Schizosaccharomyces pombe: one gene and its partner. The protein of the gene in region 1 interacts with the protein of each later gene in a biochemical or structural test. Each region holds a gene or a part of one and is shown in the gene's direction. Other genes may lie near its edges. The genes, in order: cdc17 and pcn1.

What was found.
Region 2: the proteins of cdc17 (region 1) and pcn1 form a complex in vitro, tested with the Schizosaccharomyces pombe proteins (one study listed by BioGRID).

Annotation. Positions count from the first base shown.
Region 1 is NC_003424.3:1,386,191-1,391,441, forward strand, and holds cdc17 (ATP-dependent DNA replication ligase Cdc17), read left to right. Parts: upstream 1-1,694; 5' UTR 1,695-1,753; coding exon 1,754-1,836; exon of another isoform or gene 1,837-1,876; coding exon 1,877-2,384; exon of another isoform or gene 2,385-2,446; coding exon 2,447-4,162; 3' UTR 4,163-4,427; downstream 4,428-5,251. Other genes in the region: mitochondrial dihydroorotate dehydrogenase Ura3, read right to left, coding at 1-651; SPOM_SPAC20G8.02 (DDHD family phospholipase), read left to right, coding at 4,447-5,251. UniProt on the Schizosaccharomyces pombe protein: DNA ligase that seals nicks in double-stranded DNA during DNA replication, DNA recombination and DNA repair.
Region 2 is NC_003423.3:3,614,773-3,618,463, forward strand, and holds pcn1 (DNA polymerase delta processivity factor), read left to right. Parts: upstream 1-1,822; 5' UTR 1,823-1,912; coding exon 1,913-1,993; intron 1,994-2,102; exon of another isoform or gene 2,103-2,104; coding exon 2,105-2,806; 3' UTR 2,807-3,073; downstream 3,074-3,691. Other genes in the region: heat shock protein Hsp104, read right to left, coding at 1-304.

The DNA of each region.
Region 1 (5,251 bases):
AGCGGGATCAGTGCAAGAAGCGGGATTTGCATCAAACTGTTTTAATAGTTGAGGAGATGTCTTAGCAATGTATTTGCGAACGCGCTTTTGAATCTTAGCAAGGATGGCATCATGGCCGATAGAATTAAAACCGTAACGATTGATTACAGACAAATCAGGCTTAAGGCGGAAATAGCGTGGTTTAGGATTACCAGGTTGAGGTTTAGGTGTGACCGAGCCAATTTCAAGATAGGAAAACCCGAAGTTCAACAAACCTGAGATAGCATCGGCTTGTTTATCGAAACCAGCAGCTAGACCAATGGGATTGCAAAATTTCTTACCCCAAACTTCAACGGCAAGAGATGGATCATCAGCTACACGATCCTTCGGTGTTATACCCCAAGAGGCAGCGAGAATGGCGACACGATGAGAAAACTCAGGAGTGGTGAAAGCATGAAAGAGAGGCATTTCAATGCGGCCATGGATAAAACTACGAACATCGGACATGTCGTAAATGGCAACGCCGGCAGTAAAACTACCAATAACACTCAAAAGCTTCCAATGACGGAGAAAGAAATTGCCATTTGAAGAGCCAGAGCTGGTAGATTGAAAACGTACAGAGGAGCGCTTTAAACCCTGAGCGACACCGCGAAACAAAGATCGTTGATACATTTTAGTATTTTTAATAGAATTCGGCTTAAATAAAAAATTTTCAAAACGAAATTGAAAAAAATATGAATGATAAAATAATAAAATGAAGTTTTATAATAGTTTATGCTTAATATATTTAAACACCAGTTTTTTTCCAAACACAACAAACCCAAGAAAAAATAAACAGAACCAAAAAATAAAAATATGGATTTAAGGATCAGAACAGAATCGTCAATCCGTTTCTTTATCCACCTAGAGACAAGAAGTGTTAATTTATATAAAATGGAGAACTTGGTTCTAATAAGATTTCAACGAAAACAAAGATTTCAGAACCGAAAAAATTTCTCCAAGTGCTAGCAGAGGTATATTCTCTGAGAAAGAACAAAAATCAAAAATTGAATGTTTATATTGAATGTTACCTGTAACAGGTAACATGTTTTTTTAGTAATGCCGGGCTGTCGAAATTTGACTATGAGTTTTGTAAATAAAGCGATGGTTATAAACAATTTTATGATAGTTTTTGCTTTCGAATTAACATTTCATAAAAAATTTGAAAAAGAAAAATTTTAAAAATTTAAGGACAAAATCCACTTGAAAAACAAGTGCGAACAGCTTTTTGCAAAAAAACTACAAACCACTACACATTAGCGAATAAGCCTATTAGGAATTTATTTTAATTTTTGTTGATTTAAATTTCTTTTTTTTTTAAATGGTTAGAATCTAGTTGATAAACTTCTAGCAATGTATTTCCAAATTGTTTCTATTACGTTCGTTGATACAGGCAATTGTTCATTTCTGGTATGACTAAAGCATTTCTATACAATTCAACTTCTCATTTTTTCTAGCTGTATTTATGATGTACAGAGCGTTGGGAGAGAGTTGATTAAGTCAATAGTATTTATGAATGAGACAAGGAACACTCATACTATATCAATGATAAATAGCTTTTATATTATCCTGTTATAATCATAAAAATTAATTTCATCTATATAGACTTAGAAAAAAATGGTTTCGTTTTCACTGTCCTTAAACTACAAATATCGTACACGTGTTACTTGTTCTTCAGGTGTACCCTCACTATTGTCAAATCTTATGAAATTCTTTACTCGTTGACTTGATTGTTATGCGAACAGTATTTTCGCAAATTCCTCGTTTTAAACAAGTCAATCAGTACATACGGATGTCGACAAGGCAGTCAGACATTAGGTTTGTTAGATAGAAGACAGACGTTGACTAACCCATATAGCAACTTCTTCATTTCTTCTGCTTCGCACAAAAGCGAGCACGTGGAGGTTTCTCAATCGTCTTCTGATTCCAAAAATGTTGATGGGAGAAGCACAAGCGAAAAGAGAAAGGTCGAATCAGTGAAATTAGTCGACGAGTCGAAACACAACAACCACGACGACACTGGAACTCAAAATGTTGAGCGTGAAAATAATATTGTGTCTGAGGCAAAAAAGCAAAAGACTTTAGGTTCATCCTCCTCTTCTTCAGATGCCGTATCTAGTAACAACGATTCTGGGGCATCTACTCCAATACCTTTGCCAATCAAAGAACCACCGTTAGAGTCCAATGCTCGCAATGATAAGTTAAAAGGTCATGCAACATTTGCTGAAATGGTAAAAGCATTCACAAAAATAGAGAATACTAGCAAACGGTTGGAAATCATTGATATAATGGGGACTTACTTTTTTGGAATTCTTCGCGACCATCCCAGCGATTTACTGGCCTGTGTGTATTTAAGTATCAATAAGGTATGAACGTTTGGTTTTAAAGGATTTCTCCTTCTCAGTACTAACGTCTTTTTTTACATTAGTTGGGCCCAGATTACTCGGGACTAGAGCTAGGAATTGGCGAAAGCATTATAATGAAGGCTATTGGAGAGTCTACAGGGCAAACGCTTCAACAGATTAAACTATCGTTTCACAAAGTTGGTGATCTTGGTCTTGTAGCTCAAACATCCCGTCAAAATCAACCCACTATGTTTAAACCTGCAGCGCTGACAATTCCATTTTTATTTGACTCATTAAAAAAAATTGCTCAAATGAGCGGAAACCAATCCCAAAATAGAAAAATTGGAGTGATCAAGCGGCTATTGAGTTCCTGTGAAGGTGCAGAACCTAAATATTTGATTCGAGCTTTGGAAGGCAAGCTACGCCTCCAACTTGCCGAAAAAACCATTTTAGTAGCATTAGCAAATGCCACCGCTCAATATCATGCTGATAAGAATGGAGAAAAACTTTCGCAACAAGACAGGATTGAAGGAGAGCAGATTCTTCGAGATGTTTACTGTCAACTGCCTTCATACGACCTTATCGTTCCTCACTTGATTGAGCATGGACTTGGTACTTTGCGTGAAACTTGTAAATTAACACCTGGAATCCCAACAAAACCCATGCTGGCTAAGCCGACGAAACAAATTTCAGAAGTTTTGAATACGTTTGATCAAGCCGCATTTACATGTGAATACAAATACGATGGCGAGCGCGCCCAAGTTCATTTTACCGAAGATGGGAAGTTTTATGTATTTTCTAGGAATTCTGAAAACATGTCTGTTCGCTATCCGGACATCTCTGTTTCTGTATCGAAGTGGAAAAAACCAGATGCTCGTTCTTTTATTCTCGATTGCGAAGCTGTCGGTTGGGACCGTGATGAAAACAAAATTTTACCTTTTCAAAAACTTGCAACAAGAAAGAGGAAAGATGTGAAAATTGGGGACATTAAGGTCCGAGCATGCCTTTTCGCTTTTGACATTTTATACCTAAATGGGCAACCTCTTTTGGAAACCCCACTCAACGAGCGTCGAAAACTACTTTACTCAATGTTTCAACCAAGTACTGGAGACTTTACTTTTGCTAAACATAGCGATCAAAAGTCTATTGAATCCATTGAAGAATTCCTTGAAGAATCTGTCAAAGATTCTTGTGAGGGTTTAATGGTCAAAATGCTTGAAGGCCCGGATTCTCATTATGAACCGTCAAAACGTTCCAGGCATTGGCTAAAAGTTAAAAAAGACTATCTTTCTGGTGTTGGAGATTCTCTGGATTTGATTGTAATTGGCGCATACTACGGAAAGGGTAAACGTACTTCTGTTTATGGTGCCTTTCTTTTGGGCTGCTACGATCCAGATACCGAAACAGTTCAATCGATTTGCAAACTCGGGACTGGTTTTTCAGAGGAGCATTTAGAAACTTTTTACAATCAACTTAAAGACATTGTTATATCTAAAAAGAAAGATTTTTATGCTCATAGCGATGTACCTGCGCATCAGCCTGACGTCTGGTTTGAGCCTAAGTACTTGTGGGAAGTCTTAGCTGCCGATTTATCTTTGTCTCCGGTTTACAAAGCTGCAATTGGATATGTTCAAGAGGACAAAGGAATCAGTTTACGTTTTCCAAGATTCATTCGTATTCGGGAAGACAAGAGCTGGGAGGATGCTACAACAAGTGAACAGGTTTCAGAATTCTATCGTTCGCAGGTGGCTTACAGTCAAAAGGAAAAAGAAGGGTCCCCAGCTGCCGAAGATTATTAAGTTTGTAGCTGAGAGTTACTGCTGAGAGCTACTGTCATAATAAAGGGTAATGTTCGGCTAAAATTTGCCCAAAGAGGCTAATATGAATTATGTTAAAGAGACAGACAAATTGAGTTTATGCTCTAGCTGATGGCTATTTCTCTAGCTTACTACTATTTATTTTTTTCTAATTGTAATCCCCTGTGGCTAAAAAAAAATTAATAATAAACAACATTGAATTTCCAAATTATAACATTAGATTGAAAATTTGAATCTTATTTATCCCTTTTTATTATCCTTTTTATATGATTTTATACATTGTATTACCATTTTACGTTCGTACCAAGCCTTACTCTATTTTGCCGTCATATTCCTCCTTACAGTGGATTACGAATGCTTGGTGTTCATTACCGTCCATATACATTTTATGTCACTGTAGCAAACACCAAGAAGAAATTACAATATTGGCTTTAAAGCCATTAATTGCTATGAATAATTCAGAAGAATGGCCATTGAAACATGTGCAACCGCCCAAATTGTCATTTCGTCATTTGCTATCGAGATCTGTGACAGATGCTCCTTCATTGCGGGTACGTTGGTTCTATGCGGTAGATAGACCGCTTAGGAAATCAAGAACGGGACCGACGGAAATTAAAAAAGCAAAAAATTTTTTACCTTTTTCAGCTGAAGACTCGGAGCACATCGAAAAAAGTTATTTAAAGGCTGTAGAAAATGACGGTCAATCTGAACCGGTCAATGTGAATGAGGATTATTTGTATTCGGTGAACGTTGTTTCAAGAGAACTCTCACCAATATACTGGGATGGTCCCGTTTACCGGATACTCAGGGGAACGTGGTTTTTTAGTCGTGGGGATAAACTGTACCCTTGTGAGGAAAATCTAGCGACACAAGTGGAAGAAGGTTATTTAAACAGTTGTCCCTATCGAGAATTTTCGAATGAAAAAGACTCTGCTGCTGCACAATCAAAAACATGGGCCCTCCTTGGAAGGTATACAGGTGGATTCGTACAATACACTGGCAGCAGGAATGCCCGACTGGTGTATGATGACTTTTATCGTAACGTTTCTGTGAAAATTATGAATCGGTTTT
Region 2 (3,691 bases), on another chromosome or scaffold:
GAAGTTCATGAGCATTTCGCAGCAGTTTCGCACTTTCAGGTGACAGAGTCACTTGTTCTGGAGGTGGATCCTGAGCAGGCAAGCGAACTAACCGACTAGTAACACTTCGCTCAAACTTTTGACCATCACCACCAGCTTTGTCGACGATGGTGCGCAGTAAGGTAGTACCGTTACTGTCACTGTCGGACAAAAGAGCAGCAGCAATGTGAATAGGGGTTAATTGTGAATGACCATAAGATTGTGCAATTGAGTACGCATCAGACAATGTCTTTGCGGCTTTGTCAGTAAAAGGATAATCAGCCATATCGAGTTATATTATTATAGGAATTTTTATAATTTATAGATAAATCCAAAAAAAAGGAATTGTATATTTGTCGCTCGTTATAAAACAAAAAAGAGAGAGTCGTTGAACGGTAAATATATACGGTTTTCAGTTCGATTTAATAAGAACTTAATATCGTTATTATAATAAATTCTTCGGTTATAGATTGATGGTTGAGGATGCCGCAGGTAGAGAAGCTGTGCATATATATACACGATGATGTTACTATGGGAAGGAAAGGAACATACCAGAAGATGCCAGTTACATTGTTACTCGAACCTACTCCTACACTCTAGAAAAAGAAAGGGATAAAGTAGGGTAAATCCCAAAGACATGACTAGAAGATTTAAAAAAATAAGAGAAAAATAGCTTAAAAAAAAACCGGTGTAAATTAAAAATGCAGTTACCTTAAAAGTCTTTGAATTGTCTTTAAACATGGAATACTCGAAACCCGGAAATGATCTGCGTATTACGTAGTGTATGGAACAACGTAAAGACGGATACTAACCTCAACTTATTCTCAATTGCATCTTGCTAAATACCGTTAGAATTCATCAATGACTGAATAAATAATTTTTTGATACATAGTTCTTCTATTACAGAGATTCTAGTCATATTTCCAAGCTATTTCTAAGATAGAGCTCTTACATTACTTATTCTATACGGTAGCGATTATTCGTCGTAATGACATTTAACGAACTTTAGTTACTTGACCATAGTGGTTTATAAACTAAACAAACCAACAGTGAATTCTTGTTAACGTAACTGTAATCTACGAATATTGAGAAGAAAAAAAAACGAATGAATTTGTTGTGAATACATATTTTTTCCTTAGCGAACAAGTATACTTCATTCTTATTTTCATACCTCTTTAGTCTTATTTAAACCAGCAATAAAATTCGTTTTAAGTTTTCCGTGTTAATACCAATTAAAATAACGTTTTTTTCAATCATTTTATATGTCATTGCAACGTGAAAATAAGTTAATAAATTTCGGTAGCAGCTAATATGGAAAATGTACAATTTACTTGATACATTAGTGTAGCCTAAATTTTATTTGATCCTGGAAAGTATATTAAGGTAGAACGCGAAAGCTCTCCTAGTTTACGCCGTAAATTGTAATGACTCGCTGATTACATTTGGCTTATTATAATCCGTATAGCTAGAAAATTTCGATAACTGAATATTGCTTCTTTAAAAAGACATAAATAGAACCGTGAATTAGTACAGCAAACGAAAGATAAAAATTTCATAGTAACATGCAAATACTATTTTTTCAGTTAGTTTTCCATAATTTTGTATAATATTTCATATCAAACGCATCTAAAAAGTACGGACGAAATTACTTGCTATTGTAAAAATAAAAAAAATAACAAAACAAATTATAATAACGTGAACTGCTATTTTGGTCTCATATATGAAAGGTTCTTGAGATTTTTTACGTTGTCAGCTAGCAATTTTACGCACACTATTCTGTGCTACGCGCTCTTTGACTACTTCCCAAAAGCCAACTACAAAAGGTTTTTGCAGTAACCTTTGTTAGCTATTCTTTATATCTCTTATCTAGCTTGTATAAAATATAATTACGACTATGCTTGAAGCTAGATTTCAGCAGGCTGCTTTGTTGAAAAAGCTTCTCGATGCCATCAAGGAGTTAGTTACAGATGCTAATGTATGTAAGGGGCAGCATATAAATAAAGATGCTCAACGACAAAGCCTTTCTTTTTTTTAAAAAAAATATATTTATTAACTTCTTTTGAATGATTCTCTAACCTCATAACAGTTTGATTGCAATGACAACGGTATCTCTCTGCAGGCTATGGATAGTTCTCATGTAGCCCTTGTTTCTATGCTTATTAAATCAGATGGATTTGAACCATATCGGTGTGATAGAAATATTGCTTTAGGTATAAATCTGAACGCCTTATCAAAGGTCTTACGGTGTGCCCAAAACGAGGATTTGGTTACTTTAAAGGCTGAAGATACACCTGAGGTATTGAATTTGGTTTTCGAGAGCGAGAAAAATGACAGGATCTCTGATTATGATGTTAAATTAATGGACATTGATCAAGAACACTTGGGTATACCAGATATCGAATACGATGCTACTATTACTATGCCTGCTGCCGAATTTCAACGCATTACTCGAGATTTATTAACTTTGAGTGATTCAGTAACAATCAATGCTAGTAAAGAGGGTGTTCGTTTTAGCTGCAAGGGAGATATTGGTAATGGTAGTACCACGCTGAAACAACATACCGATCTTTCTGACCAAGATCAAAGTATCGAAATTTCTCTTACCCAAGCTGTAACACTTACGTTTTCTTTGAAATATTTAGCCCAGTTCACTAAGGCTACTCCTTTAGCTACCCGAGTCACACTTTCAATGAGCAATGATGTTCCACTTCTTGTGGAGTATAAAATGGAATCCGGATTTTTACGATTTTATCTTGCCCCAAAAATTGGTGAGGAGGATGAGGAGTAGATTACGGAATCAATATCTTTTAGTAATCTCTTTGCAATTGACGAGCTAGCATCATTATAAACATACTTTTGTTTACTTTTTAATTCAACCTTTTTTGTACTGCTCCTTCCCTAACATTCATATCCAAACAGGCAAAATACCAGCTTTTACTTAAAAAAAATCAAATTCTTTAGAACCAACAAACTGAAGGGTAGAAAAACTTGTGTTCTTAGTGATGATTTTTCACAGATAACTTCGTAATCATCTGCTGTAGCTTGTTGATTTAAGTCTAGTACATGATATAATACATTGATATGTAAATTAGCTTAATTCTGAGAATTTATTCTAACTGATAATTGTATACTTATATGGCTAACCGCGTAAGAGCCTCGGAGGGACAGTTCGCCCAAATACTACCAACGCTACCACCAGTAGCAGCAAGGCGTAAAAGTTACTTAAAGAAGATAGAATTCCTTACTCTCTATACTGCCAACTTTTCGTAATAATTTATATATTTTACTATTTGGCTATATTTGAAATTTTTAGCGTTGAATATACTATGGCAGGAGATAGTGTGAAAAGTGCAATCATTGGGATTGCTGGGGGTCCTTTTTCTGGAAAGGTATTTTATTAAAATATTTTTTTCTTAATTCTAATACTTTAATACTAGACACAACTCTGTGAGCAATTACTTGAACGTTTAAAGTCATCAGCACCTTCAACTTTTTCTAAATTGATCCATCTTACTTCATTTCTTTATCCCAATTCTGTCGACAGGTATGCACTTTCCTCTTACGATATTGAAGCGTTTAAAAAAGTTCTTTCTTTGATTTCTCAAGGAGCCGAGAAAATATGTTTGCCAGATGGTTCTTGTATAAAGCTACCTGTAGACCAGAATAGAATTAT